Linked DNA regions of Sus scrofa. The protein of the gene in region 2 purifies or fractionates together with the protein of the main gene of each other region. This does not show direct contact. Links are inferred from orthologs where the notes say so. Each region holds a gene or a part of one and is shown on either strand. Other genes may lie near its edges. The genes, in order: SRPK1, DDX5, TRIM25, SNW1, HNRNPA1, EZH2 and CDK9.

What was found.
Region 1: the proteins of DDX5 (region 2) and SRPK1 purify together in Homo sapiens (affinity purification with mass spectrometry; 3 studies listed by BioGRID and IntAct, with this or other methods). This does not show direct contact. The link is inferred for Sus scrofa from reciprocal best matches to the Homo sapiens genes DDX5 and SRPK1.
Region 3: the proteins of DDX5 (region 2) and TRIM25 purify together in Homo sapiens (affinity purification with western blotting; 3 studies listed by BioGRID, with this or other methods). This does not show direct contact. The link is inferred for Sus scrofa from reciprocal best matches to the Homo sapiens genes DDX5 and TRIM25.
Region 4: the proteins of DDX5 (region 2) and SNW1 fractionate together in Homo sapiens (co-fractionation; 3 studies listed by BioGRID and IntAct, with this or other methods). This does not show direct contact. The link is inferred for Sus scrofa from reciprocal best matches to the Homo sapiens genes DDX5 and SNW1.
Region 5: the proteins of DDX5 (region 2) and HNRNPA1 purify together in Homo sapiens (affinity purification with mass spectrometry; 4 studies listed by BioGRID and IntAct, with this or other methods). This does not show direct contact. The link is inferred for Sus scrofa from reciprocal best matches to the Homo sapiens genes DDX5 and HNRNPA1.
Region 6: the proteins of DDX5 (region 2) and EZH2 purify together in Homo sapiens (affinity purification with mass spectrometry; 4 studies listed by BioGRID, with this or other methods). This does not show direct contact. The link is inferred for Sus scrofa from reciprocal best matches to the Homo sapiens genes DDX5 and EZH2.
Region 7: the proteins of DDX5 (region 2) and CDK9 purify together in Homo sapiens (affinity purification with western blotting; 3 studies listed by BioGRID, with this or other methods). This does not show direct contact. The link is inferred for Sus scrofa from reciprocal best matches to the Homo sapiens genes DDX5 and CDK9.

The regions. Positions count from the first base shown.
Region 1 is NC_010449.5:31,698,506-31,702,540, forward strand, and holds the start of SRPK1 (SRSF protein kinase 1), read right to left. Parts: upstream 2,801-4,035; 5' UTR 2,473-2,800; coding exon 2,460-2,472; coding exon of another isoform or gene 1,932-2,459; coding exon 1,871-1,931; intron 1-1,870. UniProt on the Homo sapiens protein: Serine/arginine-rich protein-specific kinase which specifically phosphorylates its substrates at serine residues located in regions rich in arginine/serine dipeptides, known as RS domains and is involved in the phosphorylation of SR splicing factors and the regulation of splicing.
Region 2 is NC_010454.4:14,578,486-14,581,240, reverse strand, and holds the end of DDX5 (probable ATP-dependent RNA helicase DDX5), read right to left. Parts: intron 2,602-2,755; coding exon 2,198-2,601; 3' UTR 501-2,197; downstream 1-500. UniProt on the Homo sapiens protein: Involved in the alternative regulation of pre-mRNA splicing; its RNA helicase activity is necessary for increasing tau exon 10 inclusion and occurs in a RBM4-dependent manner. Binds to the tau pre-mRNA in the stem-loop region downstream of exon 10.
Region 3 is NC_010454.4:33,198,941-33,202,440, forward strand, and holds part of TRIM25 (E3 ubiquitin/ISG15 ligase TRIM25), read right to left. Parts: coding exon 3,446-3,500; intron 2,001-3,445; coding exon 1,829-2,000; intron 1-1,828.
Region 4 is NC_010449.5:100,739,415-100,742,914, forward strand, and holds part of SNW1 (SNW domain-containing protein 1), read right to left. Parts: intron 1,031-3,500; coding exon 869-1,030; intron 1-868. UniProt on the Homo sapiens protein: Involved in pre-mRNA splicing as component of the spliceosome. As a component of the minor spliceosome, involved in the splicing of U12-type introns in pre-mRNAs.
Region 5 is NC_010447.5:19,483,784-19,487,976, reverse strand, and holds the start of HNRNPA1 (heterogeneous nuclear ribonucleoprotein A1), read right to left. Parts: upstream 2,801-4,193; coding exon 2,786-2,800; intron 2,241-2,785; coding exon 2,124-2,240; intron 1,831-2,123; coding exon 1,684-1,830; intron 1,554-1,683; coding exon 1,343-1,553; intron 1,252-1,342; coding exon 1,159-1,251; intron 1,074-1,158; coding exon 981-1,073; intron 872-980; coding exon 797-871; intron 523-796; coding exon of another isoform or gene 364-522; intron 1-363. UniProt on the Homo sapiens protein: Involved in the packaging of pre-mRNA into hnRNP particles, transport of poly(A) mRNA from the nucleus to the cytoplasm and modulation of splice site selection.
Region 6 is NC_010451.4:109,383,751-109,387,815, reverse strand, and holds the start of EZH2 (histone-lysine N-methyltransferase EZH2), read right to left. Parts: upstream 2,801-4,065; 5' UTR 2,678-2,800; intron 2,654-2,677; exon of another isoform or gene 2,630-2,653; intron 1-2,629. UniProt on the Homo sapiens protein: Polycomb group (PcG) protein. Catalytic subunit of the PRC2/EED-EZH2 complex, which methylates 'Lys-9' (H3K9me) and 'Lys-27' (H3K27me) of histone H3, leading to transcriptional repression of the affected target gene.
Region 7 is NC_010443.5:268,275,841-268,279,882, reverse strand, and holds the start of CDK9 (cyclin-dependent kinase 9), read right to left. Parts: upstream 2,801-4,042; coding exon 2,709-2,800; intron 2,245-2,708; coding exon 2,163-2,244; intron 1,417-2,162; coding exon 1,326-1,416; intron 959-1,325; coding exon 792-958; intron 681-791; coding exon 509-680; intron 356-508; coding exon 207-355; intron 1-206. UniProt on the Homo sapiens protein: Protein kinase involved in the regulation of transcription.

The DNA.
Region 1 (4,035 bases), on a different chromosome or scaffold from region 2:
AAACAAACAAAAGGTAAAATGATCAAGAAACACTATTAATTGAAGAAAAAAAGCACTTCTGAAACTACAAGTAAATGGGGATGACTCAAGGAGTCAAAGTTGTACAAAATGAAATATTCAGTAAAATAACTGCTAATTAACTATACTATTCACTCGCTTTTGCGCAAGTACATAAATAATTAAGAACACAAGTAACTCTTAGTTATCCGCAGTAGTGAAATGGAGGAATAACAGATAATCCAAAGGACATATATTCAGCTTTAGAAATAAAGTATATGGTCTAAATAGATAATCCAAAGTAATAAATATCTGGTGTTAAAAATAAAGTATATGATCACCCATACATATTTATTTCCTCTGGAGAGAGATCAGACAGATGAATTCTAAATGATACAGTGAACAATAAAAATCACCAGCTCCTTACATCAGCAGTAAACCTATTGTTTTATAACACATTCATATCAACTCCACAGGGAAGAAGGTAACCACATGCCCTGCCAGTGGGGTGCACACACATGCACAGAGTAACATTTAAATTCCAATGCATAGAAGAATGAGGTTAGCTCCTCGCTGTTTCATTAAACCAATCTGAGAGTAAAAACTGGTTTTTGAATCATCCATACCTGGATAATCAAGAAGCAAATAAGTACACAAACATATATAGATAAACTCACATTTAAATGCATTAAAGTTACCAAGCACTTTACAAAGTAAGTTTAATAAGACACTGCATAGAAATGAAGCAAGAGGTGAGGTCACCTACCAGTTTAGCTCTATTTATGTCATTTTTGCTCTCTGGAAACATTAGGTAGCCACCAAAAACAACACACACACACACACACACACACAACACACACACACACACACACACACCCATTTGGCATTGCCATTCAGAAAGGAAATCCAGGAAAGCCTGTGAAATAAATTTTATTGCTCAGAAAGACTTAGATGGTGTACTCCATGTAAATCCAAATAAATGGAATGAAAAGCTATCAGGAAAAAAATGCATATTTTTCTAGAAGACAATTTCCAAAACCCTCTGCAATTAAACGTGAGTACAACATAAAAGTTCTTCAGACTAAGAAGAATTGCAGAAGCCCTCTACTGGGCGTTTCTAAGAAGCTCTGGCCAACTTTTGTGTTTCCCACAATAGCACTAAACCACGATTATGCATCCTGCTGATAAAAACGGACATACACCAAACCGTAATCACCAACAGCGCTGACTAAAGAACCTCCCTGGCACCTCTGTGATGCCCACTACAGAAGGTATGTGCATTCAGGGCGAGGACTTGAGGTTCAGGAAGAAGAGACCCAGTGGTCTGCCTGCACTCGGCAAGGAAAGCGATGCGCCTGGCAGGCTCAGCAAGTTGCCTGACCCGAGGGGAAGCTCCATGCCCTCTCCTATAAAAAGCAGACCAAATTACGGAACATTCATTCACGAATTCCCTGACTGCCTAACCTCAGATGTAGCAGGCAAGTGAAGACGCTGGGAAGCAGGTGTGGAAAAGGGAGCAGAGTTCACAAGCTGATAATGATCTACCACCTCCGTGGGGAGGCCCAAATTCGGGGATCTTGGGCCTCCTCTCTGGCGTTGGGAAGGTAAATGGACAGGTCGGGCTCTGGTCCTCCCCCAAAAGCCCTTTCCTGCAGGCGTGGGGCTGCTCAGACCCAGACCTGGCCTTCAGCAACAGAAGCTCCGTTCCACATGGTTGGGGGGGGGGGCGACCCTCCTTCAGCCGCCTCGAGGCCATGTGGCTGGGGCCGCAGGGTCCCCACACCCGCTGCATGTTCAAGGCGTGAAACCGGAGGAGAAGAGGTGCCGGAGGGGGGGGGACCCAAAGAATGGGACGTTGGGGTTCGAGACTCACTTCCTTTGGGCTTTGTCCTTCTTGGCCTTGGTCCTTTTCTTTCGGGCCTGGAGCGCAAGCACTGCAGGAGAGAGGGATGGATGAAGGGCGAGTGGGGAGGAAAGGAGGCGGCCAAGGTAAGGGTGGAGACCCAGCTGGGGCTCGAGGCCCGGATGCGGGGCCTGCCTGAGGATCAGCTCCGGGGCGAGTGCCGCGAAGTCGGCCGGGCGGCCGCTCAGGGGGCTGGGGGCCCACCCCGCGCAGAGAAGCGTCCAGGCGAGGCGCGCCCGAGGGGGCTCGGGCCGTGTCAAGGGGCTGGCTGGCGGGGGTCGGCCTCGGTCGCCGAGGGCCGGGCCCTGGAGTGGCCGCGAGGCGTGGGCCGGCGGGGCAAGGAACAAGGGGCGATGCCTGCCGGCGCGGAAGGACGCCCGGGCTGAGGGGCGCGGACCCGCAGCCCAAAGGCGGGGGTTGCGGGGCGGCGCCACCTCGGCGGAGGACCGCCGCACACCCGGGGACCGGACGGCGGCGGTTAGGCCAAATTCCCGGCGTTGACCCGGGCCTCGCCCCGGCGGCCGCTGCCCCTCGTGGCGGAGGCCGCTCCACCGCTCACCTTTCCGCTCCATGGCGAGACCGGTAACCGCCAGGCGCCTGCGCACTGGAGTGGCGGTGACTCCCGCTCCCGCCGCGGCCCCAAACCAAGCCCGCGCACACCCCGCCCCCCAGTTCCCGCCCCGCCCCCGCCCACGACGGCGCGCGCCTGCGCGTTGAGCGCGGAGCCTACCACCTGCTCCCGAGACGGGGGGGGGGGCGTAGAGAATAGGGGAGGAAGGGGAGGAAAGAACGCCTCGGGTGAATGTTCCCGGGGTGTTTGAGAACCAAACTTGGAAGCTTGGGAAGATCAGCTTTGTTCTATTTTCGAGCGGTTGCTTCTGAGGAATGGCGAAGAGCGTGGCCATTGAGGGTTCCCTGCGTGCTGAGTCAGAGCTCCGCAGCCAACTGTAAACTGCCTCCGTTTCCTGGTCTGTAAAATGGAATAGTCCCAGGTGTGTCCTAGTTAGTCCAGAGAGTTCTTCTGAGGGCCAAATGAGATACTATATTAAGAAAATGGGTGTATATGTACATGTATGGCTGATTCACTTTGCTGTACACCTGAAACTAACACAGCATTGTAAGTCGCCTATACACCAATAAAATTTATTAAAAAAATTTTTTTGGAGTTCCCGAGGTGGCTCAGTGGTTAAGGAATCCGCCTAGGAACCATGAGCTTTCGGTTAGATCCATGACCTTGCTCAGTGGGTTAAGGATCCGGCGTTGCCCTGAACTGTGGTGTAGGTCGCAGATGCGGCTGGGATCTGGCGTTGCTGTGGCTGTGGCGTAGGCTGGCGGCTACAGTTCCTATCCCTAGCCTGGGAACCTCCATATGCCGTGGGTGTGGCCCTAGAAAAGACGGGAAAAAAAATGGGAGAAAGAAAAGGAAGTGGGAGCAACACACAAAAAAAGACTGGAAGGAACCTGTGATGTTATCGTATCAAAAAAAAAAAAGTCGAAAAGTGAGTTTTCTTTTAAAATTTCAGGTTTAAATGAAGGTATTAAAGGAAGCGGGAGAATAAAAACTTATAGTGTTTTCTTAATTTAGCACTTCATCATCTTTCCACAGATAAATGCACTTGTCTTTTTTTAAAGAATATTTTTATACTTTTCTAAGTGCATTATCTTTGATAATACATTTGATGTTCATGACAGCTTAAAGGCAAGATAGTTATTACTTCCACTGTAGAAACAAAAACTTGGAGGCGATATGTACTCAGAATTTTGGTGTCCTGAAGCATTGATTGAATTATCAAATCCTTGTTGTAAAGTAGTATTAACAAAGTTTTTCTGTAAGGGGCCATATAGTAAATATTAAAGCTTGTGGGTCGTAAAGTTTCTTAGCAATTCAGCTCTGCAAGTGGAACTCAGAAGCTGTCAGTGTTCTCCGAATACCTTATTTATTATCCTTGAAATTTGAATTTCATGTAATTTTCATGAATCATCAACTATTCTTCTGTTGATCTTTTTTTTTTTTTTTTTTTTTTGCATTTCTTGAGCCGCTCCCGCGGCATATGGAGGTTCCCAGGCTAGGGGTCAAACAGGAGCTGTAGCCACCAGCCTATGCCAGAGCCACAGCAACGCAGGATCTGAGCCGC
Region 2 (2,755 bases):
CTCTTCTAAAACAAAACATGAGACAAACTCATAAAAAACCTTCTTAAAACAGAGTGGCAGGAGTACCTGGCCAGCTTGATGACTTTTCATTTTTACAGACCTTAGGAAAACTGCCAATAGTGGAGATGTGGTACAAGTCAGCTAGAGGAAAATAGCTGATTCCAGACCCCGTAATTTCTATTTCCAGCTTTCCTTAACCTTGAAAGGTTAACCCAGGTGAAAGAGACTACTGTATTCCACTACGTACAGCAGCTTAGCAATTGAGTAAACACGCAACAGTCAAAATTCTTCATCATGAGCAAGGCGAAGGACAGGTTCAGGAAATCATTCCATACAAGAATGTGTATGAAGTTTTTCATATTAAAAAAACAAACTAGAAACAATATTGCCCCAAAGCAATTATAGTAATTAACTGTGGAGCTGGGTAACAAGGTGTTTTCCACACCCAGGAAAACACACCAGGGAAGAGGCCTATACGCAAATAAATAAAAGAGAGAACAGGGAGAAAAATCACATTTATTAGGTTAAGACAACCACAGGCTGGACACAACACACATGCTAAAAAGTGGACTGTCTTTTAAAACTTCAAAGGTAAATAGGTAAATGTTTTCCACAGTCCCACAGTCATTTCAGTAAATGTTTACAAATTAAAAGGCCCACGTTAGACATTAAACAGTAAAATATGTAATAAATACTCCAACCTATCCCAAAAGCTTCTTATAAGTTAAAAGTCATAATGAATTTGACTAATCATGCTATTGAAAACTGTTCAATTACTAGAGGCTGAATCAGTTTTCAATGTATTAGTCCTAAAAATGCCACTCCTTACCCTGCCCCAGGAAAATTCCCATTTTACACTTTAGAGATAAGGCATTAACACCAATTAAAGTCTCACTTTAATCATCAGGATTTAAATGAAATCTCAAGGAAGACCTCTCCTCTCCTTGCAAAAAAACCTAAGTGCCAGACTCTCTGGGAAGACATTCAGGCCTACTTCTAGCCATCACTGAAATTAAGTGTTAGAAAGGTTGGTGAGCCAAAGTTAAATCTAAAACTACCTGCTGAATCTTTCTAGCAATAAACCCATGATGACCCTCACGAAAGGACCTGGATTACAGTCACTGTGCTTTTTGGTTATGTGGCTTCCTCTAGGTTAACCATTAATTAAATCTTGAGGATTTTTTGGTGTATGTTTATTTAAACATGAACAGACCTTACAGTTTGAAGTCCTCTAAAGTTCCCTGAATTACTGGACATTCACTACTCAGTTAGGAGTCCCAGGAAACCTGTGAAGACTAGCATCTCTATTACTACCTGACAGCAGTCAGCACCAAGACTACTGAAAACAAACAAATTCAAACTTACTTTTTGGCCAACCACCCTAAAAGGTATAGCCTTTCAGCTTTGTTCAGTATTTGTTATTTCTAATATAGCTATCAGCACAAATATATAGTCTCTTAAAAAAAAAGGTATTTGGAGATTTTTGAATTATAAATTTTGCAGTATGAACAAAATCATCCACATTCTCACACTAAACTGCCAGAGGGTAGGGCTATATAGTTACATTATTTCCTATGTTGCAGTACCTCATTTTACCATTCTGCCAACAAATAAACCATTATTAAATGACTCACCTGATGTTGGAGGGTACTGGCAAAGCCTTTACAATTTAGTCTAGAATTGTTAACCTAAATCAATCTAATTTTAATCTTTTGCTATAGGAATAGATAACTGTAAGAAAGGCCTTCTGATCTCCCCACTCCCCAAAACTACATCATGGAAAGGAGCAGTAAATTTAGTTCTTACGATTAAAAAAAAAAAAAACAAAACACACCTTCTAAGCCAAGTTTTACATGACATTATATATGTAAAATAAAGTACCATTTCCACTTATTTCAGTCTTCAAATATTTTTTATTGGAAGGCCATGCATTGCCTTCATTTATTGTATTTCAAATCACTGTACATTTACTTTTGTGAAAACACTGCCTGCATTTTCTAGTACAAAAAAAACCTAAAAATTGTTTCAGGAATGTAGAGAAATATCCAACTTAAATAGCGAAAAAGTGCACCATAATTACTGCTGCACTGCAGTCATTTCTGCATTTCCCATGTTTCTTAAATAACTATCTTGTCTGATAACACACAATATAAAGAGCAATTATGAAAAACAGACATTTACATATACTTCTAAAGTCTTATTGAGAATATCCTGTTGGCATCGGATAACCAATCATAGGTGCAGCTGCAGTAGCAGGATATGCATATGCCTGTTGGTTCATACCATTGTGCATATTTGGAACATTACTTCCATATTGCTGAGTGCTATCATAACCATTCTGGTAAGTCCCTGTTGGATTACCAGTCCTAAAACTGGTCTGTATACCAGCAGACACAAAATTACTTCCAAAGCTCCCATTGGTGTAATTTGCAGCACTGTAAACACCATTCTGAGTTTTTGCTCCAAAATCTCTCTTAAGCAAACTAGAGTAACCTCGGTCATAATTTTCCCTGTCTCTAAATGTATTAAATCCACCCCTTTTGCCCGCAGAGTATCTGTCCCGACGGTCATCCTTCAGGCCTCCTCTACCCCTGGAACGACCTGTCAAGAAAGAAATTGCAAATCGATTATTTCTATGGCACAAATCACAACATAAAGGAATTGGTAGCTCTACTCTTGAGAAGTATTTTCTCAACTTCACTCTGCACTGAAGGTTTTACTCACCCGCCAATCCCATTTAAATGGATCTGTAGGC
Region 3 (3,500 bases), about 19 Mb from region 2:
TACTTCGGGGCTGGACAGATAGACAGGGCCTGACCAGGCAGGGGCTTGAAAGCTGGGGTCAAGGAGTCGGGTCCATAATCTAAAAGCAATGGAAGTTCTCTGAAGAGGAGGTAGAGGAGAAGGTCCTGAGAGATCAGATTTGTATCCTGAAAAGCTCTCTCCACCTGCAACAGGGGTGGACGCAGAAGGGGCTCGTTAAGAAGCTACCGCAGGTGCTGCAATGGACAGCAGGCCAGTGTGGACTGGGGCTTTATTTTATTTTTGCTTTTTAAGGGCTGCACCTGCAGTGTATGGATGTTCCCAGGCTAGGGGTCAAATCCGAGGTGTAGCTGCTGGCCTACACAGATCCGGTCAGTCTGCGACCTAATCACAGCTCACAGCAACACCAGATCCTTAACCGACTGAGTGAGGCCGGGGATTGAACTTGCATCTTCGTGGATACTAGTCGGATTCATTTCCACTGAGCCACAATGGGAACTTCCATCAGGATATATTTTAGAAGCCAAATCTGATAATGGGTGGATATAAGCGGAAGAGTAGGGGAAGAATTCCATGTTTCTCTGACCCCCAAATTAGCCATTTCCCTACCAAATCACCCCACAACCCAGAATCCATTCAAAACCCATCTGAGCCAACCTCAGACTGTAATGGAGCAGGACCCCATGGGGTCCTTCTTCCCAAAAGAGACCCTTCTCCCCACCCAAACAGGCACTCTCCACCGGTCTCTCTTCTGTAGAAAACCTTTAACCTCCTAGGCCTTCCCTCAAAGAGTAAATTTAATCATAGAAGTGAGACAATGCAGAAAGAAAGGCAAACAGTCAAGCAAGACAAAACAATAAGAGTTTAGGAGTTCCTGTCGTGGCACAGCGGAAACGAATCCGACGAGGAACCATAAGGTTGCAGGTTCGATCCCTGCCTCACTCAGTGGGTTAAGGATCTGGCGTTGCTGTGAGCTGTGGTGTAGGTTGCAGATGCAGCTCAGAACCCGCATTGCTGTGGCTGTGGTGTAGGCTGGCAGCTGTAGCTCTGATTGGACCCCTAGACTGGGAATCTCCATATGCCGTGGGTGTGGCCCTAAAAAAAAAAGACAAAATAGACCAAAAAAAAAAAAAAGAGTTTAGTCATTAAACAAAGTCAAGGACATTTAGCTCCTCCTCAAGGGCTACAGACAATAATCTGAGCCTGATCCTTGAGCTGTTTTGCAGATACTGAAACCCCCACTGGAAGGAGGAAGTTAACTGTGTGCTGCCCACAAACACGTAAACCCCAGACAGGCAGGAACCAAAAGGTTGATGTTTATCTCACCACCCACCAATCAAAACGATGTCCACGAGCTAATCACACAGCCCACAACCCCACTCCCTCACTTTGTTCTTAAAAACCTTTCCCTGAAAGCCTTTGGGGAGTGGGGGGCCTTTTAAGCACTAGCTACCAGTCTAGCCAGACTCCGTGTTTGGTATCTTGCAACACACACCGCACTTTCCATCATCACGACCCCGTGTTCGTCACTTGGCCTGAACGCACTCGGGTAAGCAGACCCAAGTTTGGTTCCGTTACATGACTCAGACAGAAAGAGCCCATCTAGAAAGTCCCATCACAACATCCAGCCTCCAAAAAGGTTTTAGGAAGGATGGCTACAATCTCAGGATGAGGCCAAGACTCCCTAGATGGAGGACTCTCCTAGATGGAGGACAACTGTCCTGTAACCCCTGAAACTCAAGCCCCAGTTCTTCAGATCAAGAGCCTCTCTCCCACCCCAAGACGCCAAAGGGACCCCTCCCCATTTCTGGGGTGCTGGGAGAGAGCCCGGGAGGTTGCCGATGGCTACCTGGGGCAGTGGGCTCCTCGGGCTTCTTGTCCTGGGACTGTCTGAGGTACCGCTTCAGCTCATTTTTGAGGTCGGAGGTGCCCTGACAGACGCCCTTTATCAGCTCATGGTTCAGCTCCACCTTGGGGACGTAGACAGGCTTCGTGGTGATTCCTTGTAGTTTTGCTGCTTTCTGCAACAAGCCAGGGGGTTAGTCCAGGCCACTTTGGGGAAGCTGGGGCCAGGACTCAGGCTTCATATGAGAGCCCCAGAGGAGTTTCCCTTTGCCACAGGTTCTAAGTCCCATCGGTCTCTCAAATTAGAGCCAGAAGTCGCTGGAGGTTAAAGTACCACTTTGAGTTCGATCCTGAAATCCTATAAAATTGGATGTGATATTCATTGTACAACTACAAATGTAATAAATTCACTGAGTAATAATAATAATAAAAAAAAAAGTTCGATCCTTGGTCTCGCTCAGTGGGTTATGGATCCGGTGTTGCCATGAGCTGTGGTGTTAAGTCACAGACGCAGCTTGGATCCCGTGTTGCTGTGACTGTGGCCATAGGCCAGCAGCTGCAGCTCCAATTTGACCCCTAGCCTGGGCAGCTCTAAAGGCAAAAAAAAAAAAAAAAAAAAAAAAAAGAAAGAAAAAAAAAAAAAAGAAAAAGCTACAGATATTACTAAGATCCTGAATCTTTGAGTTAATCAGAAAGATGATTCTCCTGGGTGGGCCTCGCTTAATCAGGTAAAAGTCCTTAAAAGAGGGACTGGGCTGGAGGGAGAAATTCTTTTTTTTTTGGCAGTGCCCCTAGTAGTTGGAAGTTCCCAGGCCAGGGGTTAAACCCACACAGCAGCAGCAACCCGAGCCACAGTAGTGACAATGCCAGGTCCTTAACCCACTGAGCCACCAGGGAACTCCTTTCTGCTGGTTTTGAAGTAAGCTGCCAAGCTGAGAGAGGGTCATGGGGCAAGGAATCAAGGCAGTCTATAGGAACTTTAAGGGGACCTGGCTGACTGCCAGCAGGGACACAGGGACCCTGGTCCTGCACCACAAGAGACTGGATTCTGCCAACAAGCTTGTGAGCTTGGAAGACAACCCTGAGCTCCATAAAGAATGTAGCCTGGTGAGACCTAAGCCATGACCCTGAGCCATGGAAAGTGTGAGGTAACAGACAGACGTTCTTCTGAGCCACTCAATGTGTGGGAAGTTGTCATGAAATGTTGAAAACTGGAGTTCCTGTCGTAGCTCAGTGGTTAACAAATCTGACTAGGAACCATGAGGTTGCGGGTTCGATCCCTGGCCTTGCTCCGGGGGTTAAGGATCCAGTGTTGCCGTGAGCTGTGGTGTAGGTCGCAGACGCGGCTCAGATCCCACAGTGCTGTGGCTCTGGTGTAGGCTGGGGGCTACAGCTCCGATTCGACCCCTAGCCTGGGAACCTCCCTATGCTGTGGGTGCGGCCCTAAAAAGACAAAAGACGAAAAAAAAGAAATGTTGAAAACTAATACAGTATGTATCCCAGGGATGTTTCCCGTGACCTCCCACAGCCCCAAGTCCTGGAGGGTCTCCCGCCACACCGCCTAGTCCACACCATCACGCCAAGCAGAAAGAGGGTTCAACAAGGTCCGCCTACAACCCACCTCCAGAAACTCAAACTCGTCCCCCTTAGTCAGGGCAAGTTCCACCTCCTCCTTC
Region 4 (3,500 bases), on a different chromosome or scaffold from region 2:
GATATAAATTTGTATGACTGCCTAATTGTTTCCCCCCAAAGCTCAACAGCCATGACATAGGAGCAAAGGATGGTTTATCATTACTGCTGTCTTAGAGGGTAAAATGAAAATGTTTCAGAGAAAGAGAAGAGACAAAGGACAGGTTCTGATGATTAAGTACTTTCCCCAATATCTTCAATTCTAAAAAGATTTTTTTTTAAACCTCTATTTGGAGTATTTATTTATAAGAAAAAAACTCGATCTTAAAGCAGAGTTCCTTTGCTCTGAGTGTGGCTGCCCTGTGATGAGATAATTTTAAGTAAAACTTTATTTTTGGTCTTTGGATTACTTTGTAAGCAGGCCCATGCTAAAACCAGCATGTGTTAGTTTTGTGCTTAAGTGAGAAAGAAGTTTGTATGATTATATTCAAACGAACCATTAAAATAATTAAGCATCTATGTACTTTATGAGTCCATGGAAGAGAAACAGAAGAAACTATAGACAAAACTAAATTTTGACATTTTTAGGGTGCTAGGATTTTAAAAATTTGCTAGCATTTAAAAAAGTTAGTACTAGAAAAGAATTGTTTTTAATATACAGTGCTGTACATCAATTATATCTCAATAAAACTGGAAGAAAAAAAGAATTATTTTAAAAATGTAAAACAAATACATACAAACCCTAAGTATATATAAGCTATTATCAATTTGGGGAATTTCGAAGGAAAAAGTCATTGCTATTATGAAGTCACTTTTAATTAGCCTAAGTATGCTTCACTGTTATTTTTAACATAAACTAAATGACCAGAGATTTATCATTTTCACACAATTAAAAAAACTCCTCGTACAGTATTTATCAATGGAGAAAAAAAAATTAGTAAGAGGGTTACCTTGTCTTTTGACTGTCCTTGTCGAGCAATTGCATCATACTTAATTTTTCCTTCAGCATCCACCTGAATGGCCAGTGCATTTGACATTTTTTTCTTTCGTCCCATATCCAGAGGATACTGGGCCACATGGATCTCTGGGAAAGCACCTCCATCTCCAAAATCCTATATGTTAAAAAGAAATAAGAATTTATTTAATAATAATTTGAAGAGGTCCCTGGTGGCATAGAGGGTTAAGGATCTGGTGGTGTTACTGCTATGGTTTGGGTTTGATCCCTGGCCAAGGAATGTCCACATGCCGTGGATGTGGCCAAAAAAGAATATTTAATAGTAATTTGAGATTCAACATATACTCATTCATTCAACAAATAATTATTAGCCCTTATTATGCTAGACGCTAGAGATACAGCAGTAAACAAAACAGAAGTTCCTGATCTTGTGGAGTGTACATTTCCGTAGGAAAAAACATAAAAAGCATAATTTTTGGCTTGTAATAAACACCTTGAAAGCAAGAAAGGGACTAGGAAGAGGGGCTATTTTCAATAGTGTGGTTGAGATAGTCTTTGTGAAGAGGTAACATGAACTGAAGCCTGAATGATGAGAAATCAGTCATGGGAGGATCTGCGGGAAGCATTTACTAGGCAGATTCAAACAGCAAGTGAGAAGGTTCTGCTGCAAGAATGAGGTTGGAGTTCCCGTCGTGGCGCAGTGGTTAATGAATCCGACTAGGAACCATGAGGTTGCAGGTTCGATCCCTGACCTCGCTCAGTGGGTTGACGATCCGGCGTTGTTGCCGTGAGCTGTGGTGTAGGTTGCAGACGCGGCTCGGATCCCGCGTTGCTGTGGCTCTGGCGTAGGCCCCGGTGGCTACAGCTCCGATTCAACCCCTAGCCTGGGAACCTCCATATGCTGCGGGAGCGGCCCAAGAAATAGCAACAGCAACAACAACAACAAAGACAAAAGACAAACCCCCCCCCAAAAAAAAAAAAAGAATGAGGTTGGCATGTTCTAGGAAGAATGTCCAGTGGGGCTGTAGCTTACTGAGGGCAGAGGAGCAGACACATAGGTGATACAGCTGCATGAGCAGACAAACACCAGATCAGGAAAGGGATCCTAAACCACGGCAAGGATATGGATTTTATGTACATGGCAGGAAGAAATTAGGCAAATTGTTTAGCATAAGAAAAAGATTTTGTTTTAGCATACATAATTTTCTTTGTGAAGAACTCACTATAGAAGTCAAGCTATAGTTAGAGCAGAAATGTAAAGAATTATATTTCTTCTTCAGATTTTAATAATGTACTATTTATTCAGTGTTCCATGAGAAGCGGATAAATAGGAAATGAGTTCACCACATTTCTAATGATGATTATATACAATGGTTTAGAAGAGAGAATTAAGACTTCTAAAGTAAGGAGTTCCTGTCATGGCTCAGTGGTTAACAAATCTGACTAGGAACCAGTAGGTTACGGGTTCGATCCCTGGCTTTGCTCAGTGGGTTAAGGGTCTGGTGTTGCTGTGAGCCGTGGTACACGTCGCAGACATGGCTCAGATCCTGCCTTGCTGTGGCTCTGGTGTAGGCCGGCAGTTACAGCTCCCATTAGACCCCTAGCCTGGGAACCTCCATGTGCCACGGGAGCAGCCCTAGAAATGGCAAAAAGACAAAAAAAAAAAAAAAAAGATTTCTAAAGTAAAACAAGCTAAGTAAAGTCTGTTGATGAAGTTTAATAATACAAAAAAGTATGTCATCAAATTAATACATGAATACCAAACATTAAATACTTTTGTTAGATTTAATATTTGCTTAGTACCTTATTATAATGTACAAAATATAATCCACACATATTGTCTTATAATTCTTAAAAGCCTCATATTTCCTATGGAAAAAATTCAACTTTAGATAAACTAAGTTAAAAATGATATTTTTCCCAGGTTTTATGGTAGTTATGCAGGACTTGAACCCAGATCTTTTTTTTTCCCCCCCAGCAGTGAAAGCATCGAGTCTGAGTCACTAGACCGCCAGGGAACTCCCTGACCCAGATCATTTGACTTCAAAAAAAATCTCTGAATTTTCTGCTAAACTGAAATACGACAGGAAAAATATATTAATATCAATCATTTGGCAGGGGTTTGATGAAAAAAATTATGAAAATAGCCACTTTTATATTACCTCTTTCTTCAAGAAATATTCCATCAGACCCTGGATATATGACTTTCTAGGTACAAAATGCTTACTTGCTAGAGAAAGGTTTGCCTTTTTTTTTAACTAAACAATAAAGCTAAAGGAGACATTTTCTTGTAAATTAGGCAGAAAATAGTTAAAACGTTCCCAAGAAAGGTGCTATCTGTACTCTGGGCCATCATTCTGACACATGCTCAGATTTGCTAGAGTTCTTCAACTAAAATAAGCACTTCAGGACTGTAGTTGTTGCATTAGGTAATCATTAAGCTTGCCAGAAAATCATAGCTTTTACTTTGAAAACTAGAACAAAATGCTTTCTTCCAAGAACATTTGCTCCCCTCAAGAAGCATTCACAGTGTTTTTTCTTTTTTTTTTTGCCACATTCAGAGCATGTGCAAGGTCCTGGGCCACCAGACTGAACCTGTGTCAGAACAGTGACCTGAGCCACTGGAG
Region 5 (4,193 bases), on a different chromosome or scaffold from region 2:
ATTCAGTTGAATAATCCAGTAGCTAGAAATTTACCCCTGACTCACCATGGTAGAGCAAGTAGTATAGTCTCTAGCCTCGAAGGCTGTTGTTACCCATCCAGGGGCACCGCAAACACATGCTGGATACATCAACTAAGTGCCTAAATAAAAGCTAACCTAATCCCGATTAACTGTAGGCACCACTATCCCCCTTAATCTATTTGGGAGTGAGGCGGCCCCAGCTTAAAGCTAGGAGGAGGTAGCATTGCAAGCCCATTAAAAGAAAGTACCATGCAGTAAAACACATTATGCCTAGAGAGCATCAAGTTCCCATATGGCTAAGCTAGCTATTTGCACCAAGTACTTGGATCACTGGATACCTACCACTACCACCGCCAAAGCCGCCTCCGCCTCCTCCGTTGTTATAGCTGTCATAGCTGCCACTCCCGCCATAGCCACTGCCCTGGTTTCCATAACCCTGTCCACCACTTCCATAGCCTCTGCTTCCTCCAGAGTAACCAGGGCCGCCTCCTCCATAACCACCTACAAGAATACAATTCTTCTCAATAAGACACAAGTATTCAACATTCAAATTCTGTGCAAGCATGATGGCTAAAGGCCGGCTCACAACATGCTGTAAGAGTCAAACTTGAACTTATCATGCACTAAAGTTTTAGTATCTACTAGCCTATTCTAAAAGTAGTCAAACTTTTTACCTGTAGTTTCTTAAAAAACAAAAAAATCCAACAACAAAACGAACTAAAAAAACCCACACACGCACACACAAAATTTTAACAGTAAAAACAAAAAAACTTACCGTCATTACCAAATCCATTATAGCCATCCCCACTGCCACCATATCCACCACCACCACGACTGCCACCAAAGCCACCTGGAACAGAATTTAAAAGCCAGGTTTGAAGTATGTGGATCGCATACAAATCACACCCTTCTAAGCCTAAATTCTAAGAAGCGTTAAAATAATAAAAAACCATACATACCTCGACCACTAAAGTTTCCCCCACGACCAAAGTTGTCATTTCCACCAAAACCACCTCCACGACCACCACCAAAGTTTCCAGAACCACTTCGACCTGAAGAAAAAAATGTTAACGTTAAATTGTACCGGTTAAAATCATTCAAAATGATGCTTAAGGTTTAATTAAGCAACAAACTCACCTCTTTGGCTGGATGAAGCACTAGCCATCTCTTGCTTGGATAGGGCTTTCCTCACTTCACAGTTGTGGCCATTCACAGTGTGGTATTTCTGAACTGAAAAATTTGAAAGTAAGACACCATCTCAGAGTTTAGGACACAAATGGATTTCAGAACTCTTAGCGAATGCCAACCACCTGCTACTTACTGACAATCTTGTCTACGGAGTCATGGTCATCAAAAGTTACAAAAGCAAAACCTCTCTTTTTGCCACTGCCCCTGTCCGTCATGATTTCAATCACTTCGATTTTCCCATACTGTTCAAAATAATCTCTTAGGTGATGTTCTTCAGTGTCTTCTTTAATGCCACCAACAAAAATCTTTTTCACAGTTAAGTGGGCACCAGGTCTTTGAGAATCCTAAAGGGGGAGAAAATAGTAACAATCCTAAGACCATGTTAATACTAAGTCTGTTACATCCCCTTAATGTGAGTGAATCCTGCTAATCGAACATTTCCAGTCGATGAAACACAAGAAAAACATCACTTACTTCTCTTGAGACGGCCCTCTTTGGTTCCACAACTCTTCCATCCACCTTGTGCGGCCTTGCATTCATGGCTGCATCCACCTCCTCCACAGTGGCATACGTGACAAACCCGAAACCTCTGGAGCGCTTGGTGTTTGGGTCCCTCATTACCTTTAATGTTTATTTAGCACATGGTAAGACACCAGAAGTTACAGCCTTTTCTACCTTGACTAAGGCAATGGAAAACTTTCTACCAACCCTCTAAACGAAGCTCTTCAATGACCACCGCCCCCACCCCTTAAACCTAACAATTGGGAGCTTTTCAGCTATGAAGCCACACCTTCCTTTGTCAAGTAAGCTATAAAGTCAATAGGAATCTTCATAAGCATTCAAACAGCAACGACAGCGAGATAAGCCAAGAAAAACAACTAGCTCTAAGGCCTTTTGTCTCTTCCAAGTCTTACCACACAGTCTGTGAGCGTTCCCCATTGCTCAAAATGGCTCCTCAGACTCTCATCGGTTGTTTCAAAGCTCAAACCTCCGATGAAGAGCTTCCGCAGCTGTTCGGGCTCTTTGGGAGACTAGAAGTAGGGGCAAAAAAAGCGTTAAATAGGGCTATAACGCAAACAAGCTCCCCGCTACAAGAAGCAACACCAGGTAGCAACGTACGAAGCTTTTATTGTTCCCTCGGGTCGCTGTAAGCCACGTGCTTCTCCCCATCTGGGGAGGCGGTATGTTGGGGGCTGGGAAGCGGCGAGCGCATGCGCCCCTTACTCTCCCTACGACGCACGCGCAACAAAAGGACTGGGAGGGCGTGCATCGCCAAAATTGGACTACAGCTACTCTTTAAGAAAGTCGTCCACTAGGACAAGGATGAAAAACAGACCGAATGTGTCCACGAGCATTGCAAAAAAGAACGAGAGCAGCGTGATAACCAAGGATTGCACGACGACAGCCTCATGGCGACGAGGACAAAATGGCGACCTGAACTCAGGGAGGGGTAGGCCCCGGCAGCGACCGAAGAACTGCCGAAAAGGCTGGTGCAAGCAGCCAAACCAGACTGCACCCTACCAAACTCAGCAAGCGGCGAAGAAGAAAACGCAGATGAAAAAAGAGTCTCACTCACCTCTGACTTAGACATGACGGTAGTGGGGAGGAGGTTACAACGATGCTTACTCGGCGGCGTCCGGGGGCAGAAAGGAGTAATCTAACGAACGAGTCTGCCAGCCTACCTTCGGCCTCGCTTTTTTATCCCGCCTCCTCGCGTTCGGCATTGGTAGACTCCGCCCCTGAGTAGCTCTGATTGGATATTTGACATAGCTTTCCCCCACTATTGGTCTCTCGTATGCGTTGCTGTGTAACGTCATCCGTTTGGGCGTTCTACGCAGTCTCAACCCCTCCCGGTCCATTGGTTCCTAAGTAATATTATTCTTAACTAGACTGATTGGCTGGTCAACCAATGATTCATATTTGAATTATTTCGGGTATTGAGATAACTTTTTAATTAGCTATGTCCGGAATATTCAACGCCTGTGTCAAAGCATTTTTAATACTATGTATCAAAAAAGTAGCTAGCATGTGACAATTTGGCGGAACGGGGGCGGGGGCAAGATCGCCTGCTGAGCGCATGTGTAGTAAAATGGCGAGTTTACGCAGGCGCGCTAAGAAGTTCCGCCCGGAGCTTGCAACACGTGAAATGGCGGGCAGGAGACAGCGGCGAACCTAAGGCGCCTGCGTAGTGGCGGGAGTTGTGCCCCCTTTTGCGCAGGCGTAATGGGCGGGGAAAGGGTCGGGTCCCAGGATTGGTCGCGCAGGCGCAGGGAAGGATCCGTTTTGGCGGGCGGTTGGCGTTGCGCAGAAGGCGGCGGCGGCGGTGGCTTGTGGTCCGGCCGCACCACAGAGGAACAGGCGAGGCGTTAGCGTGAGTGATCGGTCTCGACCCCCGGTAAGTGGCGGACCATCTTGCCTACCCATACGAGGTCTTGAACTGACTCCAACTGGGCCCGTTATTGTGTGAAATGAATGGACCTCGGGGTGGGGGCTCGTGAAGGGGGAGCGGTGAGATCGGCCAACCAATGGAAGAACGGGGGCGGGATGTTTTATCCCCGTAGGTTCTGTGGAGCTTTGCAGCGGAAGAGTTTGACTGGCGAGTGTATAGGCCAATTGGGGCTGTCCTTAGCTGCCGACTCATCGGTCCTTGGGCCATCGGTATGTGGGAGGCGGGCTTTCTCCTCCTGAGCAGCATCTCACTGAGCCAATGAGCACGAAGCGCGCGGTAGGTTGGGCTCCTCCAAGAGGCCACGATTTGACTCCAATGGGGGATGCGGGAGTTGGGCGGTTAGGTGGATGGACCAAATCGGGAGCCAGTAGGCGAGCAGCCTCTGGAAAGCGCTCAGGCTGTTCGTCCAATCAGCGCTCCAAAAGAGGGAGGTCTTAGATTTGGGGATGCGAGGAAGGGGATTCAATGCCTGTGATGGCGCGTAGGGGCTATTTTATTCACAATGACTTTAACAAAACCTGTGGGCCTCCGTGCC
Region 6 (4,065 bases), on a different chromosome or scaffold from region 2:
CAAATCCACTGGTCATTTCTAATTAACCCCAGAATGCATGAGATCAGAGGATTTTTTTATTGCTGTTGATTTTTTAAAAAATCAACTTTCTTAATTACCGCTTTTTAGGCCAAGATGGAAACTAATTCGTTCTCCTTAAGCATGCCAGCTCAAAGGATGGAAGATATCCTAGAAAGCCTCAGTGTAACCTGGGGAAATCTGCCTAAAAATTTTAAGTGGCCAACACAAAGACAATCACCTATATGTATGTGTGCAAGGCAAAGCTGATATCAAAGTATTACAGCTTTTTTGTGTGCCTAACTTCACTAAATCAACAAGTGTGGTTTTTTTAATCACTGCTACTTAAATACATTTTCAAATCAAATAAAAAATTAAAAACCAATTCCCCCAAAAAAACTTAAAAATAAATCTTGTGGCAACTACAAAGACAGTAATTGCCAAATATAGTGTACACAAACAAGTAAGGAAAAACTGCAATTTCTTATCCTAAAAGATCCAAATATCTACCAAAATCTCCCTAACTAGCTCATCTTATAACAAGAGGCCAGATTATCAGGAGGACTTTTTAATAGATAATTACTAGCAACTAATACAGTAAACAATACTTAGGACAGCACCTGGAATGTCTGTTCAGCGGTGTCTAACACTGCAAAATATGTAATAAAGACTTTTACACTGCATTTCTTTGTCTCCATATTTATGAAACCGTAAGATGGTAGGGTGAACATTAGATCATCAGATAGAACAATGCAAATCGGTGCTATGTTCCTAAATTCCTCTTCTTTGAAGATATTCCCCTGCCACAAAGACTAGAATTTAAGATGCCATTTTCCTAAGTGTTTTCAAGAACTTAAGCATTAAATTCCCAAATACACCACCACAAAGAGAGAAAGGATTCTTTACATCCAGGACTAGAACCCTACCTACTCCTAACTTTAGGTAATATGAAAAGGAAATTAAAATAGGTCATAAATACTTTCATTTTCTTGAAATAAAATTATCAATAAACTTGTTAGGATTACACACTTGTTCTACATTTTATTTCCAAACATAAAATAGTTGCTAACGGTGATGAATGAAGAGTAGTGGAAAATAAACTCCAAACCCCCTAGCTCCCTGGTGGTCTAATGGTTAGGATCCCACACGCTCTTAAAATCCCTTAGAAGTATAGCCTACATTCAACTGTATCAGCATTAGTGTTTTTTAAAGATTTTCTTAAATGGTGTTTTATGTGACATTAAAAAGCCACAAAATTAATCCGATAAATGACCTTTAAAACCCAGAAAGTAAACCTTGAAGTAAAATATTTTTAAATACCAAAGACATATCTTTGTTTCCAAATGACTTAAATTTTACAGATCCTGTGTGACAAACAAAGGAAGTTTAGCTTAACTGTGGACAGCACACGTTCAATTTCTTAGGCAACAAACATTTCTGTAGTCAGTCTTTTCTGACTCAACAAAGCTATTGTTCACGGAAAACAAGACCAATTAATGACGAATTGCTAACCAGACCACCTAAACACACATTTGTCATAAACATTTTGCTTGATCAATTCTTTCTACCATCGCATCCTCATTCAATCCCTGGGGATTTGGAGAATAATCTCTTACTAAATGACAGTTGATTTCGTTAGCACCTGTCGCCAGTCTCAGATGTATCACATAAGTTGGCCGAAAGAGCATGTAATTTTTTAAAAAAAATATGATTCTTTAGAAAGCGGGAACTCAGCAGGCGTGAGTTCACCAAGTTTTCATTTCAAAATATCATGCTTCTCGATTCCTCCAATTTTCAAAAAGGGACCTGATGGCACCGACTTTTTTTGGGGGGGTGGACAATGACGCGGAAACTCGACGAAAAGCCCTCCGAAACGAACAAAACCGAGCGGGGGGAGAACGGCTCGACCCTTCCTCAAACTTAACAGAAAGCCAGCCGAGGGGGTAAAGGCGGCCGGGACCGCCTCGTCAGAGCGGGTGGAGACGAGGGGTTCGGGGGTGCTTTCCGGGGAAATGTCAGACCCGCAGCCGCTCCGAGTTCGGTTCCCAGCGCCGCCCCGGCCCCCTCGGCCCCGGCCGAGCCTGCGCGCTCGCGGGGAGGGGGCGTGGGGCCCAGCCCGCCCCCTGCGCCGCGGCCCGCGCTCCCCACGCCCCTCTCCCGCCCGCTGTCAGGCCCGGGTGTCACTGCCCCTTCCCCGCGCCGAGCTCCCCCGAGACACAGTCCGTCCTTTGTCTGAGTGTGCACTCGGTGCCGAGGTCCCACCAACTTGTGTGCGTCCCGTCCCACCCGGGCGCTCCCGCCGCGACGCTCCACACAAAGGAGACAGGGGCTCGGGCGGCCGGCCCGCCCCGAGCACCGGAGCGCCCCCAGCCCAGCCGCCGCGCCTCCCGAAGGGCGGGCGCGCGAGAAGACCCCTCGGCTCGCCCCCCAGGGCGCCCGCCCGGGGTCCCGCCTTAGGTCGCCAGGTGCGGCGCTGCCCGCCCCCGCGGTCGCGCGGGCCAGCCCAAAGCCACGGCCCCTTCCGAGGGGTCTCCTCTCACCCCTCCAGCCAAAGCGGCGCCCCGGGAAAGCCCGCTCTGGGCGATACCCGGAGGGGTGGCGGGGATATCCCGGCGCCGCCGCCGCCCCTCACCGAGCTTCGGAGCCCCGCTGGCCGGCCGGCCCGACAGCGGCACGCTACCTGAGCCCCGCGCCCCAGCCCGCTCCGCTCCCGCGCGCCGCTCCCGCGCGCCACCACCGCCGCCGGGCTTCCACCGCCTTCTGCGTCCCAGTGGGTGTCGGACGCTCCCGGACCAAGCGCCAAACCCGGCAGCCCAATCGCCATCGCTTTTATTTGGCCCCCCCTGTCCAACTAAGCGCCGCCCCGATTGGCGGGCCGCGAGGCGGGCTCCCGTCCAATCACAAGGCCCGCCGGGCTCCGTGGCGGCGAGCCAGCCCCACGCAGAGGAGCCCGCGGGACTCAGCCGGGCCGGGCCGGCGGCGCGTGCGCGCGAGCGGGCGGGCGCTGAGGGACGCGGCCGCCGAGTGGAAGCGCTGCGCCGTCTCTTTGTTCTTTCGCCGAACGCACGGCGCCTCTCAGGAAGGCGGTGGGTCGGCTGGCTGGGACGATGGGGCCTCTGCAGCCCGAATCCCGGGCCGCGGGCGGGAGGCGGCCAGGGCAGGATGGCGGGAACCGACCAGGGGGCGGGACGGCGCGCTCGCGGCGCTTGGCGGGAACCGCCGGCAGCCTCAGAGTTCCCGGGCCGGAGGGGCGGGGCGGGGCCGATAGCCAAGTTTGAACCAGTTCAAAACTCGGGGGTGGTAACGGTTTCAACTGCCGCGCTCTTTTCCCCGCGCGCGGAGCCGAAGCGCAGGCCGGCCGGCGGACGCGCGCGAGGTACCCCGATTGCCGGCCAGTTACGCTCTGCGGTCCGGGCTCCAATCTGGTTCGTTTCGGGCGAGGAGCCCCGAGCCTTTCGCGGTCTGGTCGGACTGGCGCGCCGCCTCCGGTGCGAGCAGAGCGCTCTGCCAGCTACTTTTTCTGCTAAGCCCCTCAGTGGCTTGGCCCGACTCAGATCCCCTGGCCCGCTGGACTTTGGTTGGTCGAGGCCGCAGTGCCCATCTCCTTAGAAACCTGGGAAACAGCAGCCCTACTGTTATTTCAGTTTCCTCATTCTGAGCGCCTTGTTCGGCACCTTCCAGCGTTTGTAGTTCCAAACACGTGTCAACGTTAATCATTTATCAGGGGTGAGTGGGGTTCACTTGCCTCGAGCTAACGCCTCTGGAAAAAATTGGGATGATTGCAGCATCTTTCAAGTGTTAAAAAAAAAAATGATCTGCGGGTGAGCCTGTATCAACCCATAAGAATTAGAAATATTCTGTTTAGGATGCAGTTTCCCCTTTTAATTTATCTGACAGTGAAGGTAAGGTTATTCTGAATTTTCTTTTTTTTCTTTTTAGGGCCTCATCCGAGGCGTATGGAGTTTCCCAGGCCAGGGGTGGAATCCGGCCTACACCACAGCCACAGCAACTCAGGCTCCAAGCCGTATCTGCGACCTACTCCACAGCTCAACAAGGCCAGGGATCTAA
Region 7 (4,042 bases), on a different chromosome or scaffold from region 2:
TCAGCTCTGAAAGGTTCAGAAGCCTCGCCCAAAAGCATTGACCTAACCGGTGATGGAGCCGGTGAACACAGTCCATGTGGCCCCAAAGAGCAGATTGTGACCCTCCGCCAGCCACCTCTCCCTCTGCTCCCCGCCCTGCCCCTCCTCTACCAAGGAGAGGTCTGGATCTCTGCAGCCTGCGGGGCCCAGACAGCCTGGCGACGCACCTCAGGGGTGATGGAGCCACAGAGCTGGCTGATGAGGGCAAGCTGGTGCTGCTCCGTGTTGCCCTGCATGATGGGGCTGCGTGTCCACATCTCCGCCATGATGCACCCGGCACCCCACAGGTCGATGGGGGGGCCGTAGTCCCGCTCCCCTGAGAAGAGCACACCAGGAGGGCCCCTTGAGCCCGGCCTCCGGAGGCGCGGGGCCCCAGGGCCGGCAGCTCAAGAAGCCCAGGCAGGGGGGAGCGGAGGCTGGCTAAGGGCCCAGCCTCCTGCCCCTCCTAGGCCTGCTCAAGCGTCCTCACCGAGCAACAGCTCCGGGGGCCGGTACCAGAGCGTCACCACACGGTTGGTGTAGCGGTTGGGCTGGCTGTTCTTGGCAAGGCTGAAGGCCCGGGCCAGCCCGAAGTCGGCCAGCTTCAGCACCCCGTCGCGGGTGATGAGCACGTTGGCCGCCTTCATGTCCCGGTGCAGGATCTGCGGGAAGCACACGGGCGGGGGTAGCCAGGGGCCCTGAGCCGCACCCACCCCGCACGGAGAGCCCAGGCCAGCCTGGGTCTCCCCCCGACCCCCGACCCCGGCCCCCACCTTGTTCCTGTGGATGTAGTAGAGGCCATTGAGCAACATCTGCATGACCCGCTTGATCTCCGACAGCGTGAACTTGACTAAGACGTTGCTCAGCAGCCCGGCGAGGTCATGTTCACAGAAGTCAAACACCAGGTATATGCTGCCTTTGCAGCGGTTATAGGGGGAAGCTGAGTCAGGAAGCACGAGGGAGAAAGAGAGGGGTGGGAAAAAAAAAAAAAAATCAAAAACCTCACACGCAACTCATCTTCCCACAACCAGCTCCTACCCCCTCCAACCTATGGACAGTGGGTATGTGGCTGCCCATTCCTGCACGGGTAAAATATTTTCTGAGTGCTTCTCTGGGCCGGGCGCTGTGGCAGGCCCTGGGGAAGCACCTGCTCCCACAAAAGGACCCGGGAAAGCAGTTGCAGGTGGTGTGTCTGGGTTAAGAAGAGGCAGTGAAGTGGGTCCGGTTCCAGCTCCGCCAGCAAAACCTGAGGCGAGAAGCCTCATTCTCCCCACCTGAAAACGGAGGGCAAGATCCAAACAGCTTACCTTTGGTTCGACAGATCTCAATCAGGTTGACCACGTTCTCGTGTTTTAGGAGCTGGAGGATCTTGATTTCCCGCAAGGCCGTGATGGGGAACTGGGTGAGAGAAAGACAAGGAGGTCAAGAGCGGGAGAGCACACTACTGACCCAGGAACTGGCCATGGGATCCACAGTAAGGGTCGAAGGTTGGGAGACAGAGTCAAATCGTGGGCTCTGAAATGAGCTGCCTCAGATGCCATATTTAGAACACGGGCATACTAGTAGAAAGTACCCCTTCGGGAGCTGGTTTCAGACGATGACTTGAAGTTTTGCTACTTCACACAAATGCTTTATGACTAGCCATTAAATGCTGCACGGTTTCTTTAAACTCATAATGTAGAGCTCTGCACCCGTGTTTAACCTGTTACATGGTTAACAAGACAAAAAATAAAGAAGCAGGTCTTTGGGAAACTGGACTAGAGCTACGATGGGGGGGGGAGCATTTCAATTGAATACCAGTTACTCTTTTAGGGCTATGACATATGATTTTTTTTTTTAAACATTCGACAAAAGTAAAGCCCAAAGGAAAAGTGTTTAAAAACTTCCTAACTTCAGGAACCAGGGTGCACTCAGTGCAAGCATGAGCTCCCCCTCCTGGCACCAACCACGTGCACCTGAGAATGAAACATCAAACTCTTTAAAACATTTGAATTAAAAGATTTAACCTGAAAGTCAGATTCCATAGAACACAGAAATTCCTAAACACATAAATTCAACCTCAGCATGAAAGTCCCAGAAGCAGGGTGGAAACCCAACCTCTGCCCAAGGGACCTAGCAGGCCTGCCCACCCGCCCCGTACTCACCCCCTCCTTCTCGTTCTCCATCAGTACCTTCTTCAGAGCCACCTTTTGGCCGGTCTTGCGGTGCTTTGCCTTAAACACCTCCCTGCAGGCCGAAAGGGGGACCCAAGAGGACTCTTGAGGCCGTTTCCGCAGGGCCCGCCCCGCCCCCACCAGAGGAGGGCAGGAAAGGGAATCCCGGGCGGGGCTGGGCCGGGTACAGAGGGCCCTCGGCTACACCAACGCGCGGTATCTTCGGTCCCTCTCCGAGCCTCTATTTCCTTCCCTTTGCCCTTTCTCCTCACCCAGGCGCCGCTGCTGGGAGAGATCCCGCTCCACTCACAGGCTCCTCTCTGCAACCCCTCCCTGCCTCCCATCAAGGGCCTCAGGCTCCTCCCCGCCAGCCGGCTCGGTCAGGCACGGGCGGGCTGCGGTGCGGCCTAGCGAGACCAGGGGACAAGTTTGCGGCTAGGTGGCTTCCCAACCAACTGGACACGGGCCTGGGCGTCTCGACATCGGTCCAGAGGGGTGCAGGCTCAGGGCTCCTGGTCCCTGGGGGCCCAGCCTTACCCGAAGGTGCCTTGGCCGATTTTAGCGAGCTTCTCATATTTGGTCACCTCATCACAAAAGGGGCACTCCACCGAGTCGTACTGCTTTGCCATGGCCGCCTCCAGTGCGCCGCCGCCACCTCCAGCCGCCGCTGCCGCCGCCGCTCCCGCTCCGGGTCCCGCCGCCGTGCTCCAGGCCCCTCCGCGGCCGCGCCACTTCCGCCTCCACGGCCACTTCCGGCCCCGCGGCGCCGACCCCGCCTCTTCCGTCCGCCGTCCGCCGCCAGGCCCCCTGGGACTTGTAGTTCCCGGGAGGCCAGGAGGAGCCGGAGCTGCAGAGGCGCCTCCGCCACCGCCGCTGCCCCCGCCTCCGCCGCCGCCAGTGCTGGCGGCGGCCCCGATCGGGGGCGCGGGGAGCCGGGGCGCCGGGGCTGGGGCTCGGGGTGGTGCGTCCCGCTGCATCGGCTCGGGCCGCCGCTGCTGCCGAAGCCGCTGCCGCTCTGGCGCCCGATCCGGGGCCAGCCGCAGTGCCCTGCTCCTCCTCCTCCGACGGCGCCGCCTCCGCCAGGCTGCGCGGGGCGGCGGGAGGGGGGCGCCCCCCAAGCCTCGGCCTGGGGGCTCCCTGGCCGGGCCCGGGCCCGGGGCGGCCGGACGAGGGGGCCAGACGGAAAGAGCCGACGAGGAGGCGGCCCGAGAGCCCGGGAGGGGGCGCGTTATAAAGGGGGAGGTGCCCCGGCCTCGCCCTCCCCTCCCCCTCCGCCCGCCCCCTCCCTCCTCCCTCCCACCCTTCGCGGCCGCACCTGCCGCCGCTGCCGCCGCCGCCGCCGCCGCCGCCACTGCCGCCCGCCCGCCCGCTGTCCGCCCGCCGCCCTCGGCGCGTCACCGCCCGCGGCCCCTCCTCCGCCTTCGGAGGTGGGGCCCCGCGCTCCACACCTGGCTGCTGGGCGACTCGCCGCGTGCCTCAGTTTACCCACACATGCCAGCAGCTTCAGGGAACCCCTTCCTTCCCAGCTCCGGGTGCCCCCCTACAGGCAAAGGAGGGAGGCGCCGAGGAAGCAGCCTCGGGTCCAGAGAGGAGAGAACGGCCCCCACCGCCCGCCTCTCCGGGCCCCCGCCGGCCGCCGTTGATATGGCAACCGATGGCCGCCAGGGGGCGCGGCGACATTGGAGGCGGCAAGCGAGCAACTCCCGGGCCCCCTATTCTCTGGGAGGCAGGGATGAGGCCCAGGACCCCCGTCCCAGCTGAGCTGTGCCCAAGATGGTCGTGCCTGGGTCGGTAGTCACAAAAGTAGCCAGCATTTATTCGACAACCCTTGTGTGTTCAGCAAGTGCTGGGCATTCCTGCGGAATCCTGAA